2 linked regions of the Caenorhabditis elegans genome follow. The protein of the gene in region 2 interacts with the protein of the main gene of each other region in a pairwise test. Each region holds a gene or a part of one and is shown on either strand. Other genes may lie near its edges.

Region 1 (7,418 bases), on a different chromosome or scaffold from region 2:
TCAAATAAAAACTTTCACATTTTCAGGTTACACGTTCCGTTATCACCAACAAGGCGTAGATCCGCTACCTCGTATTCCTGATTGTAAAGTCCCAGTAGCACGTCCAGCATACAAAGTTCGTGATCAATGGAGTGACGAAGCTGCTCGCTTCGGTCAAAACGACTATATTGATCTTCTCGGTGATGGATCAGTTCATCCTGCACAACTTCAATATCACACGCCAACTTGGCTTCGTGGATTCCCAGGACAACATAAAGCAAATGAGCTCATCAAACTTATTCACTATCGAAATCTGTATGATGCTAAATTGAAACAAAATTCACCGAAAAGATGGCACGAGCTAAGAAAGAGAATCAAGTATTTAATGATGCAGCACAATTATAACAAACAGGTTGGATTTTTTTTTAATATGTTTTTTTTTAAATCCAAATTATTTGCTTCAGGATGAGATCGGTCGAGAACGCAACTTGGGATTATGGGAAGAGGAGCCCGACTACACTTACAAGGACAAATCACGAAGATCATTCAAAGATGAAATCCATTAGATTTATATTGCTTGTTTTTAGCTGTTGTAGAATTATTTTTGTTGTTACTATCTGAATTTTTAATATTAATTTTCGAATCTTAGGGAACATCGAGATCATTCGTGGCATATCATAAAGTTTAAGCTTCCAGTCCGTAATAGATTGCTTTGAAGGGGTCCAGTTTGAGAAGTTGCAGGTGTTTTTCGTTTCGGAAAAAATCGAGATTTCCTGAAATGCGACTGTCATGAGTCAAATTTCAGAAAATTCCACGTTTCAATTTCGATGTTAGATTATAGAGACCTTTCTAGCTTCCCATTTCACAACAAACCCCTCTTCATCATCATGACGTCATACAGTCTCGTTCTCTTCTCCAAATATAAATGATCAGCTGTACAGTCACTAAATGCAGCATATCAGTACCTTATCAATTGATAGCATCACCACATGTTCATCTCGCCTCAAATTCAAAAAAAAAGCAACACTTCACTCCTAAAACAGTTCCATTTTCGGTCGATAAACCATCGATTCCCCGTTCACTCAGCTGTGCGTATTTTCTCGTCATTCGTCTCTTTCTCACAGCCTACACTATTCGCGAAGCCGTCTGCAATCTGCGTCTCACCTTGGGCCCTATGCAGAGGGACAATCAATCGGCCTAGAGGAGGCTGGTCATGTGTTTATGCATAGAAATATCGAGAAAGAATGCGAGACACAGAGATGAAGAGGCATCATTCGGCCTCATTTTGCCCATAGCAACACTTACACTCGTAGGCTCGGTAGTGGAATGTTCCAGATGAATACTCTTGCTTTGACACGATATTTAAGTAGGAAATTCCTTTTCTAAAATCTAAAACTAGCAATTTCTTGCGGTTGTGTAACCGAATCAAATATTCGAAAATTAGCAAAATTTCGCAATGAATATTCTCGTTTTTTGGCAAACCGTTTCTTTTTTGTCATTTTGACTATTACACAGTCTCCTCCAGTGGAAATCGGTCCGTTGGCGCACTTCTCGTGCATCGCGTGGAAAATTGAGAAATTACCAAAACTTTCAATTTACTGTTTTTCTTTATATTTTTCATAACATAAGCTTGGGTGGAAGATTACTTTTCAAATAAACATCAATTTCTACTAGAAAAATGATGATAAATATACAAAATATGAGAAAAACTCAATTTTTAGTTGTTTTTACTTTTTATATCAGCGCTTTTATTTTTGAACCAAAATCAAAAAACTTTTTTCTCCACCTTTCCCCGAATTAGCTTTACAATTGATACCTAATTTCAAAGTATGAAATCGATTTTAAACCCACAAAAACCGAAGGAAATCATTTTTCAGTGGTAAAATTTTGCAACGCTCACGAGAAACGCGCAAGCCCCCTTGTTGGGTCATTTCCACGTGAGGAGGCTGTGTATTATCCTTTCTGATTTTTTCCGTCAAAAATACGGTACCCGGTCTCAACACGCTTTTTTGTTGTAAAATACAAGCAAGTATGCGCCTTTAAAGAGTACTGTAATTTCAAACGTTTTTTGCTGCTTAATTGTTTTCCTTAACAATTTATTTGTTTATTTAAAGACTAAAAATTGAAATTTAAAAGCACAGAATTGTTTTAGAAAAAAGTTTTAGAATACAGTACCGGTTGGAATTTGAAAAAAATTGTCGTGTCGAGACCGGGTACCGTAGTTTTGGCGCAAAAATCACAACATTTCGCGTATGGATAATATTTAATTGCATTTTTACATAACTTTCTTGTAGGCCCAACAGTACCTACTTGCCTGCCTACAGGCAACTCTCTACTGCTACTAAATTTTTGACGCCTTCACGAAATTAGTCACTTATGATAATGAAAGTTTATATTTTAGTTCTAGAGAATCTGTTCAACTAGATCCTAACAAAAATAGTCTCCAAGAAATTTAGATGAATGATAATAAAAACTTGTTGGAAGTGATCTACTAGATCTAGATACCACCTTGAACTTTGAAGCCTTGAGTGTTTTTCTTTTCATATCTCCGTTCTTGCCCCCTTTGTTCATCTCGTAAACATCTTTAAAGGTTCCAAAAATAGTACATTTCCTTTTTGTTGTTGCATTATTCTCCAAAAAAATGAATTATGGTTTCAATTTCTTACACAATACAATCATTATGATGATTATTCGAAGTATAATATTTCGAAATTTCCTTTTTTCGATTTCGCAACTCTCGCAACTCAATAATGTCAATACTTGTTCTATTATCTTTCACTCTCTTTTCACTCACTTTCAAATAACTTCTCATTTTACTCAGATGGCTGCTGCATCATCCGCTCCTCACCAAATGCAAGTTCGTGTGACTTTCTATACAAGTCACAATCCGCAATCGGTTCTCATGATTTTGAAGAACGATCAGGCTCTTCAACAGATCTCCGAGAAGGCAAGAGAACTGTTCCCATCGGCTGATTATCGTCTCTACTACGGTAAGATATTATACTTTTGTTTTTGCCCCGTTTGCTAGACGAATCAATTGTGCAAATAGAGTATTTGTATGCCACACCTATGTTATGACAAAAAAGTACGGTGCCCGGTCTCGGCACGATTGAAATTTTTAATGGACGTTCCGAGGAAGAGTGTGCGCCTTTAAACAAACCATTTTTTTAAATTTAAAGTTTAACTAGATTTAAAAGGTCGTTATTTTTGTAAAACTCAATTTAATTAGATTATATTTAAGATTTCTAATTTCCCTAGATATCTCACAGTAACTTTTTTCCAAATCTTCAAATTTTCAGGTGATGTCAACGGACCAATCTTTGAGTTCACCAATTCGGATCAGATTATGTCTAAGATTCGAATCACTACATTCTCTCGAACTCCTCAACTTTTTGTTCGCCTGGAAACTGTTCCCCTTCGTCCAACAGCCCTACCATCAGTGAGCACTGAAACTGCCAAAAAAGCTTCCGATGCTGATCGTGAATCAAAGAGCAGATCCTCGCTGAAGCGTATCGAGAACAACCAGGAGCTCACATTGAAGACGCTGGAGAAGTTGCAAAAGGAGCTCTCAAGAGTTAGCGCTTTGGAGACGATGGTTGCTGATCTTCATGCAAAGGAAAGAGAACCTGTTGTCGAGGAAGTTCAGAAGCCATTCCCTCCAGTGAAGCACTCGGCGTCTTGTGATGCTTGCCTCGGTGACATCATCGGACATAGGTTCAAGTGTCTCGAATGTGCCGATTATGATTTGTGCGAGAAGTGTGAGAGAAAATCTTTACATTATGAGCATGCAATGATCAGAATTGTGGAGCCAAAGAAAACAATGATCCCATCATATGTGACATCAAACTCTCCGAACAATGTCTTCCCAACTTACATGCAGCACAAGATCCAACAACCACAAACTATCAAGGGGATCAACAAGACTGTTATCACGAGACTCGTTCCTTCACATCAAGTTAATCCAGCTCCAATGCCTCAAGCTCCACCAGTCTCCACTCCAGTTCCATTCCCTCCATCTCCAACCATCGGAAATGGAGCAGTTCCAAAACCAGCCCAGGAGCCTCGGATCCCACCATCTCCAACTTCTGCTCTACCACCACCACAATTCTTCAATGAGGAGACCCGTGCAGCCATTATTAATAGTGCAGCGTTGCTCAAGGAAACTTTCAGTACTTTGAGCAGAAGCTTCTTGGATTTGGCAGATGGTGCACAGGCCAATATGGATAAAAAGATCATTGAACGCTCGACCATGGAAGCAGGAATGACCAAATTCGAAGAGAAAATGGATAATTTGAAAAGACACTGTGAGGAGAAATATCTTGGAACGGAAACTGCTGAAGCTGAGAAGAGCGAGGAATCTTCGAAGAAGCAAGCAGATAGCTTGTCTGGACCAAAGATCAAGAAGGCTAAGAAGAAGTCCTGCTACAAGAAATCTGCCGAGAGACTATTCACAATGCAACTTGCTGCGGCGGCTGCTGAGCAAGCCCGTCTTGAACAAGAAGCCAAGAAAAGAGCTGAAGCCAGCTCTGCTGAATTACAGAGGAAACTTGCTGAGCTTAATGTGAAGGAATCTCAATCAAAATCCGAGGAAAACATTGCTGACTTTGTCCTATACGATCTTTACGGAAACTCCTTGGAAGCTTTGTTGAGAGGTCGTTCGAGCTCTAGAATCGCCGATCCTCCGACCACTCCAAATACCGAACCAGCCACCACAGAGTTAGCTTCAACGACCTCTGCAACTCCAGCCGTCACTGCTCCAGCATCAATTGTTCCAGTTACTCCAACTGCACCAATTGTTGAAACTCTGATCGTTCCACCACTTCCACCAGTGGAATCAAATCCAGAAGAGGTTACACCAATGGTGACTGCACCAATCTCAATTCACTCTTCTTTCGAGAACATTTCTTCGGATTTCGAGAGCCTCAGTCCATCATGGGGAGGATACCCAGATTTGGAAGCTGCACAACGTCTAGAAGTCATCGATGATAACTTACTCGACTTCTCTGATGTTGCTGTTGAAGCCCAGGAAGCTCAAGAAGCTCAAGAAGAAGCTCGCCCAGAGCCAGAGCAATCTCTACCACCATTTAATGAGGAAACTGAAAAGGTAAATCTAAATGTCGTCCATGAATCCCCTAATCTAACGAATTTTCAGACATTCGATCGTCTCCTTGAGATGGGATTCTCCTACAACGTCACTGTTGCTGCAATCAGAGCAAATGGATCGAATCTCGAGATGTGTCTTCAGGCGCTTCTTCACTAATTTGTACATCCTGTATCGTGTCGCCCAACCAACTCTCTCCTAGATACTATTAGTCATTTTCATCATTCCAATGGAAAGCTGTATCTATTTTTTCTCGTCTTGAACCTGAAAATGTTGCTTTTGCGTAAATTGCTTTTTTAATAATCTGAAATTAATAAAGTTGTGGCGAAAAATTATTGTCAGCTGGTTTATTTCAAGTATGGTGTTGCTTTCTGAAACTTGGAGGCTGAATTTTTCTTACATCTGTAGAATTTTATCACATTTCGAATAATTTCAGATAATTTTTTAAAAAACCTTTTCCAAAACAAACTATGAAAAATAAACTTCAAAACATCAACTAGTTCTATTCTCAGGTTGAATATCATTCATTACCAAAAGAGTTAAAGCGTTTTCCAGAAAAAGTTTCGATAATTTTCCAAAAGCCAATTCGAATATTTTCAGCAAGTCGCCGCGTACATTTAGAAGCATCTATCATCTTTGGCATATGGAAGCGAACAGCTTTGAGCAATACGTTTTTTCAGTACAGTTACAAAATCCCATTTTTCTCATCGTTGCATCGAAGATTTTTTCAAAAATTTATATAGCAATAAATAACAATATGTGTACATTTTGAAAATACTTTTACTTTAGATGGAAAGTTTCGAAAATTTGCTCAAAAACCGGCTCAAATATCAAAGTGCAAATCGGCGCATGCCACATTTCGATTTTTAGGCAGTTTTTCAGTAACTTTTTGAAATTTTCGATCCAAAGTGAAATCATTTTCAGAGAGTACAAGCATTTCTCTATATGTCTATATAAAGTTCCAGAAAGTAATTTTGACACAACATGGAGAAAAGTACAATTCGGGAAATGTGCCAAAAAAATGATCGCACACATCTGCTGGCTTCCATATTTCAAAGATGACATATGCTATCAAAACAAAATAAAGTAATAATGATTGTATAAACATTTGTTTATTTTGAAACTTAAATACACATTAGTTTCAGAAAAGTTACATACTGTCTTTTGCAATTATTGATTTTTGCTCATAAAAGCAACATTTCTGCTTAGAATTTTGAAAAAGGTTCACTATTTCGAGTCCTCTATTAGATTCTGAAAGAATTTTTCAAAAATGTTGGCCCATCTCCAAAATCGTCCTCCGCTCTGAAAAACGAAAGTGGACCTTTGCCTTCCAAAAAGTGGGGAAAAAAATGAAATTGATCTTTTTGGGCCGAAAAAAATGTTTTTAGAATGCTGAGAACACGTTAAACACGAATATATATATATTCTGAAAATGTCTAAAATGGATTTTAAAAAAGCATAGATTTATTTTTCATTTTCAACGTGAAAGTTTTGTGTAGATTTTATATTCCAAAAGAATCTCAAAATTTAGAGACTAAACTTTCACGTTGAAAATGAAAAATAAATCTATGCTTTTTTAAATCCATTTCAGACATTTTCAGAATATCGGGATCTTAAAATAAACATGATATTCGTGTTTAACGTGTTCTCAGCATTCTAAAAACATTTTTTTTCGGCCAAAAAGCTCAATTTCATTTTTTTTTGCCCATTTTATGGAAGGCAAAGGTCCACTTTCGTTTTTCAGAGAGGAGGACGATTTTGGAGATGGGCCAACATTTTTGAAAAATTCTTTCAGAATCTAATAGAGGACTCGAAATAGTGAAAATTCTAAGCAGAAATGTTGCTTTTATGAGCAAAAATCAATAATTGCAAAAGACAGTATGTAACTTTTCTGAAACTAATGTGTATTTAAGTTTCAAAATAAACAAATGTTTATACAATCATTATTACTTTATTTTGTTTTGATAGCATCTGTCATCTTTGAAATATGAACAGATTTGTGCGATCCTTTTTTTTTTGAAACATTAGTTTAGAATTGTACTTTTCTCCATGTTGTGTCAAACTTTTTTTAGGAACTTTATTTATATAGACATATAGAGAAATGCTTGTACTCTCTGAAAATGATTTCACTTTGCATCGAAAATTTCAAAAAGTTACTGAAAACTGCCTAAAAATCGAAATGTGCCATGCGCTGCTCTTTGATATTTGAGCCGGTTTTTGAGCAAATTTCCAAAACTTTCCATTTAAATTTAAGGTACACATACAAAAAATTTTAACATTTCAAGTAAAATTAAACAGCATAAAGTTGCCAAAATTTTTGGTAAAATGATCGTTATTG
Region 2 (7,380 bases):
TTTCATACTTTATTCCTTCTCTCTAGCACTATGGCCTACCCTTACCCCGTTTTCAATGCTGAAAATGTCTTTGACAATACCCAGCAACAAGTTGGATTCTATGATTATTCAACTCCATTCAATGGTACATACTCCTTTACTACTGACTATTCTTATTATAATAACTACTATGACTATGTCAATACTTATGCTTCTTATTATCCAACTGCAATGGATTCTTCATCTTTAAATATTTCATCAACTACTGGAAGTCCTAATTCTTCACATTTCACCACGTTTACTCATTTTTCCACTCCATCTACATCTCCATCTACCTCTACTCAAAGTTCAACTACACCGAGCAATTCTGATAATAAGAAGTCATTTCAATGCTCAAATTGTTCAGTAACTGAAACAATTCGTTGGAGGAATATTCGATCAAAGGAAGGAATTCAATGTAATGCTTGTTTCATTTATCAACGGAAATATAATAAGACTCGTCCAGTCACTGCCGTTAACAAATATCAAAAAAGAAAATTAAAGGTACAGGAAACGAATGGTGTAGATTCATTTTAATGTAAATTACATCATTGTAAATTGTATAACTCAATTGTAATTTTATTGTTTTAAACCGGTAAAATGTTTTTAATTAATATGATTTCATAACTAATACATTTATATTTAATTCTTGTTCTCGATTTTAATTACATCATAACTCAAGATTTATAGAGGAATAAATTTAAAATTAACAAACCCTGTATCGTTTTGAACTTTTGTTCTTTGTTTTCCCAACAGCGCTGTTCATTTTTTTCAATCTCGTCAGCCAGAACAGCTTTATATATGCTTAGGATTTAGAGAATCCGACAGCGGAAACCAAACTTTTGCAGAAAAAAATTGTGGACGGGAGAGCGAGACAAAAAGGGCCGAAATGTGTTCTTCAGTCATTGCTTTGAAAGGTTTCACTTTTCTAGTGAGTTTTGTTTTTCGAAGAACTTTTTGAGCTGCACTATAATTCTTGTATTAGATGTTTGTTTTTCAATAATTTAGATTTAAATTTTTCTGTGATGTGTACTGTGACCATGCGATTGTCACCCACTAGAAATGTTGCATTCTGAGTCGGAAAATGATGCTTACTATTTTTAAAATTTCTCTCCAATTTTTCCGTGTTTATTGTCACAATCAACCCAAAAATAGAATATTAAATCAGTTGGTTTGCACTCGTCACTGAATTCTGATTCATTGTTTCGCATAAAGTTATAACACCTTCTCTAGTCACCCTAGTTTCCATTTGGCCTTCTGTCTGCTTTCTATAGGATTGGCTACATGGTACATACATCTGTTATTTGTCATGCTGTGTTCATCACAAAAACTTTACCCCATAAAAAGTGTCATACAAGGAACACGAATCATTGAGTGAAGTGTGACACAGTTTTCAATTATTTAACATTCGCTTTGTTTTAGTAGACTGCTGCTCTTTTTTCTTCAAAGTAAGATAATCTGGAGGACAGACAGGAAGTTGTTAAAGTGATGTATAAATATCGAATATGTTTAGTTGAATGCAGTTTTTTTCGAATAATTTGTTGCACAGCCCGTACTTGTTACACTAGTTACTTTTTCTCGAACTTTTGATGTAGCTTAATCATTTTCCCCTTTATTTTTTATGTAAGAGATAGTACTTGTAAAGTGTAAAACGTTATTCAATATATACCAAGAACAATTACACCCATATTCGAAAAAAAATAGTTGGGATTGTGATTTTTCTCTACCTATTTTCAACATTGCCAAATTAATACTTTGATAAATTCTCTAGATATATATATATATATATATAATATATATAGATACATTTGCATGTAGATCATTTTTCTCTGAGCTCCAAGGTTAAATTCCCAATTTGTGCAGGAAGATTTGCCCAAAATACCTGTCGATTCTGTTTTCAGCAAATTTGGAAAATCTGGAAGCATCCAATTGTTTGTTTGCAGCGCAGCCATTGGAATATTTTTATTTTTTAATTTTTTCCAGTCCACTTTTGTTTTGAAATTACAATTTTTGAAGTAATGTAAAAAGTAGAAAATAGCCTTGGGCAAACAAAACTTTGAAACAAAATTTCATTAACGTTTTTGCCCCCTTCCTCCGCCCATTTCCTCTTCTCATCCCATTCGAATTTTACCCCATTGGGAATTTCAATTCTTGTATCAGTTTTGTTCTTTTTTAGTTTTAAGAAAATTGGCATATATTTTTGAAAAAACGTCATTTTGATCTTGCAGAACAGCTCTGTTTTGTTTTGTGTCGGGTGGTACCCTAACACCATCATTCTTTCATTCAACCCATAAAAGCCAGCCGTCACAGAGGAACACATTTGAAAAAAAGGGTTCCGCGTCTTTTTAGCTTTTAACTACCATCTGCTCTCTTCCAAAAAAGGACATTGAGTGCTCATTTAATTTTTCTGCTCATTTGTTGATTGGGTTTTTCTACACTTTGACATTCTTTAAAATTATAATTAAAAATAAAATCTTTAAAAATAAAATAGAAAACAAGACGAAAAACATCCTCATAACTCCCTAAAACTAGTGTTTATCGGATTAGATACACATAGAGACGTTCGAGAAATTCAATTTTTTTATCTCATCGTTTACGTATTTTATGTATTTGCACATGTGCGATGAGCATTATTTATGTTACAACAAACCCGTTTTTCCTCATATTTCATCTTGCCATTCTCATTTATTTTCTTATTTATGATATTTGAAAATAACAGAAATTATTTTTACTCTTAATCAGATGAAATACTTTGCAAATATCATAAATGTTATAATTAAAACAATTGAAATTTTTGTTGCGAATATTTAAAACATACAAAAAAACGAAAAAATAAACATACTTAATGTTCCTAGTGAATATCAAATTTCTCTGTGCGTCCGCAAATGCATCACGTGGTTTTGTTCACAATTTCAATTAAAAAACTTCTTGAACTTTAAAAATATGTGTTCACACATTAATTAATTTTCACAAGATCTGTAACATGGGGCATAATTTTTGTGAATTTACCAATCAATCATTAATATAAGATAGTTTCACGTAAGTTCAACGCAAGTTTAAAAGTGATAAAAAAAATCAAATTTTGCATTCAACTTTGCAAATTTGTTCTCAGGATGAAACTTCTTGAAAATTTCACAAAAGTGTTTTTTCTTTTTCTTTTTAACGGTTGAAAAGTTTAACAAAAAAATACTCAATATAGCAAAATTCTAAAATTTTATCAACTTTACCCTGTTGTAGAAATTGAGATTAAACTAGCGAATTTTTCATAAACGACACAAAATTTCAAAATGAGGTTGTGATTAAATAATAATATTTTTTCCAGTCGCTCCGCGGACAAGTGGCCTAAATTTAAGATTCCTGCGGAACCTCAATTTTTAAAATTTTTTACTCAAATAAAAAGCAGAACCGTTACTCCTTCTTATGGTTTGCGTTTATATCTTCACAACTTTTTTTGCTCTCTATTGTCAATAACGTTGGTTTTACAAGATACAAATAACTTAAAGTTTCAGGGTAGTTACAGCTAAAAGAGACCGCAGCAAGGGATCCTGTCACTGAGAATGTTCATCTTTGCCGCAGTAAGTGTTCATTTTTAAGATAAACCACATGACCTTGTCTCCTTATGATCTGCCTGATCAAACAACCGGCTCTTCGTTGTCAATGACCTCGTGTTTATGTATGTGTTTTGTTTATCTCCAGCACGTTTTCCAAATCTAAACGTTTTTGATGGTTGGTTGAGAAAGAGAAACTCTACGCAATTTTGTTGTCCTTTCGTTTTGCTTCTTCACCGTCGCCAATGTAAAACGCGTGACTGCCGCGAAACAAACTCTAAAATACAGAAATCGTGAGTCAACTGTAATTTTTTCGACGATTTCCTTTCTGATTCAATTCCACATATCGATTTTTAGAATGACACCGATTTGCATGAATTATCCGTACCCCCGTCAGTCTGAACAGCAACTTTTCTTTTTAACTTTTTGATTTCTGTTGTTTAATCAAGTGCTTTTTGCGTTCATAAAATATAAGAATAAACAATAACTAAAATTAGAATTTCTTATTTTTACGTATTTTTCCTTCAACAGCATATCAATTTAATTTGAAAATAATTTGTCTTGTTCAATGTTAGGAATTTCGCAAACGTTTAGTTGCCATATGTACAAAGATATGTATAAAGAATGTGGAACATTTTCTTTCAAAAATTGAAAATAATTTATTCTAGTAACATTTTTGAACACATAAATTTCAAGTATAATCTTGAAATTTTTTCATGTCGTTAAAAAATCAAATGCAACGTAATTTGAAACACCTACATTGTGAGACTTTTGCAGAAAACAAAGTTAAAGGTCAATGAGACCCTCCGAATACGAGTGCCAAAAGTATTCAATTAAATTTCCAGTTTTTACGCGATGAAAAACACCAATCAACAATGAGCCAAAAGTGTGGTGTGCTGCTCTTTTCCAAGCGTAACATTTAAATTGAACTTCTGTTTGAAAAATGAGGAGAGCATATAGAGCCAAATGATACAAAACCACTCTCATGATATTAGAATTTCCGACTCCTACCCCGACCCGACCGACCCAAAAAATGGGGCGACCCACTCCACAGGCCTAGTCTTACATCCCTACGGACCAATTGAAAATTAGTCTTGCATGCAAGAATAATAGAGAAAGCTTCAAAGCTAATTTGTTCAAAAACAATTTCCTTTTTGGATCTTCTCCGCCTTCAAACTCCAGTTCAGAATGTTATGTGTCCAATTTTCTTTTGCACGTTCGCTCAAGAGTACACATGACAACTACATATTATCTTTTTTATCAGTTCGTCATTTGATTTGATCGCTATTCATGTGCCCTTTTCATATTTACTCTTCGCAACTCTTTTGTGAGCACCATTGTTGCAACCACAACTTGCATAATTACTACAGAATCGAAGTTTCAAAAAAAGATTGCATTCTATCTCGCGCTCCCATGCGCTTTTTTCGTTTTATTTGCGATTGAAAAATAGCTTTCCTGCTTTGCGGGCTATGCAGAGCAGTAGTTTTCAATGGTTTTGTCTGGGCACACAGAGAAGCGTACAGTGTGATTGAAAAAGTGGGGTAGCAGCCAGTATAGAGCAAGAGAAATGTACAGCATTCAATTTTTCATTCGTTTTCTATTTTGCTCTTATAAACTGTGACATTTCTAGTGACTGAAAACGAGAAATCGCAGTGTCTTGTTTAAAACTCCCTCAAAATCTTTCTCTCTGAAATAATAATTCAGAAGAATTATATATTTTTCTTTTTGACAATGACTTCAAATATAATCTCAGAAATCTTACAATTCACTGGAATGTCACAGTCATAATCTCGTATTATTTGTATCTGAAATAGACGTTATTGCGCCATGTCTAGGTGGCTTTGTTAGAGAAAATACGCGTTTTTCTTAGCTCATCTATTTTTTTTTCTTCTTGCAAAAAGCTGACTTCTTGTTGCATATTCATTGAACGTTAGCTTTTTTGGCAAAGGTTTATGTAGGATTATTTGTAAGACTTGAGTTTTAAGCTCTAAGAATTTGAAAAAAGGTATGAAAAGCTACCAAGTTTTTCATTTTTCTAGTTACGAAAATTGGCTTTCTCTTTTTTTCCTTCCAAACTAGTAGAAAAAGCACTGCCATTGAAATTAAAAAAAACAGTTTTCAACAATTTTTCACAAAGCGGAAAACTTGAAAAATAAATGCTTTTTTAAGTTAAGAAAATATGTCGTCACAAAAGTTCTTGCAGATTTTGCACTGTGCTTTCATAAAGTTATTGGGCTTTCTTGAACTGTTGTTAGTTGTCCTTGATGTACTTCAAACTTTCATAAATTCCTTTTCCAATTACAGCGTTCTCAAACTATTAAAAAAATATGATTCAATAACTGTCTGCACCATTTAGAGAGAGAGAGAAACTAAGCGTTCCTTTCTTTCCTGAAAAAAAAACAAAGTCTCATGGGTTTACTCAGATGACAAAGTAACACAAAAAAACAGAAAAAAAACTCCAAAGTTTCCGTGCCAAAAGTTGCGCCGTCGTGTCTATTTACTTGACACACTTGCCATCACACTTGAGCAAGTACAGCTGTTCCTCAGCACCGCGAGCACTTTTTCGAGAAAATTGAAATTACGTGTCAATTCATGTCTCCCACAGCAGTTCATCAATCATTTGCTGCATGTTGCGACCAATTTATCTTTTCGTTTTTTGTTCAAATTTGAAACAGAAATTTCGAATAAGGGTTCTTGAGTGTAATCAGTCAACGATTGTGATTTTTAATGCGATAAAAAATCCAGCATATTTTTTGAAACTTATCTTTGCCATTTTTCTTCAAAACAATTTTTAATTTGCTCACCTAACCAAATTAAAGGCGAAAGATGTTTTTTTTAATATAAAAATGTCGTACGTTTTGTTTCCCAAAATACATTAATTCAAATCTATTTTGGTCAAATCGTTGTAACTTTTGTTCATATCTGTCTTGTCCACGGCGCAAAAATGTTATCAAATTTTGCTAATTAGTCATCAACTTTTTTTAATTTCATAGGTTCTAATGGCATTAGTTAAACGATGTGTACAAAGATGTAATTATACGCTTTTCAAATATATGCAAATTTTTCTTGATTAACTATGTGTCCAAACGACTAAAAACCGTTAATCTTACTGTTAATTGAAAAAAAGTATTTGAATCTGTTATAAGTCATCATAATTTTACCAAAAATCTAAAAGTTTCAATTTATCTTTAGTAGAACAAATGTATATTTTAATTCTTGTTTGTGAAAGTACAGATTTTCTTGTTTTATACACTACTTCTAAAATGCTAAAATGTTTTATTGTCTATTTATTACTTATTTTTTCAACTTTTCAGGCTTTCCAACAGAACACAATAATAATGAGTACTACTTCCAATGAAGCATCTGTGATTGAGGTCGTTCCTCCAAATGCAAACTGTGACAAGCCGAAGAAGAAATTCCAAGTTGTTCCGGTTCCAGGAGAGTTTACACGTGGCAGATGGAAAGTGATTGATACCAGATTTGGGTCGGCAATGGGAGGTTAGTTTAACTACTTGAAAACGAATAATTTATCAATTTAGAAGAAAATCAATAAATTTATTAGATACCAGTTCAAAATTCCGAGCATAGAAGTACGTGTTTTAGTACGTGTTTTTAAAAAAATGTTTGAGGTTGTTGAAGTACCAGTGAAAATCTTTTTTCAAAATTATTGATTAAAAAAAAATAAACTGGACAATAAACACAATTTATTTTTTTCAGAATTTGGAAATTATCCTCCAGAAGACGAGTACAAGATGATCGTAACAAGCAAAAACAATGTGATCACCGTCCGAAAGAAATTCCCTCGGCCGACAAC

What was found. Proteins that work in one complex are often made in the same cells at the same time.
Region 1: the proteins of tsct-1 (region 2) and sqst-1 interact in a two-hybrid assay, tested with the Caenorhabditis elegans proteins (one large-scale study listed by BioGRID).

The regions. Positions count from the first base shown.
Region 1 is NC_003282.8:12,031,482-12,038,899, forward strand, and holds sqst-1 (ZZ-type domain-containing protein), read left to right. Parts: upstream 1-2,800; coding exon 2,801-2,969; intron 2,970-3,278; coding exon 3,279-5,083; intron 5,084-5,131; coding exon 5,132-5,239; 3' UTR 5,240-5,410; downstream 5,411-7,418. Other genes in the region: mrpl-51 (Large ribosomal subunit protein mL51), read left to right, coding at 27-391, 444-545.
Region 2 is NC_003284.9:12,430,579-12,437,958, forward strand, and holds the start of tsct-1 (Protein tsct-1), read left to right. Parts: upstream 1-3,518; 5' UTR 3,519-3,575; coding exon 3,576-3,593; intron 3,594-6,058; exon of another isoform or gene 6,059-6,125; intron 6,126-6,880; coding exon 6,881-7,064; intron 7,065-7,283; coding exon 7,284-7,380. Other genes in the region: med-1 (GATA-type domain-containing protein), read left to right, coding at 31-555.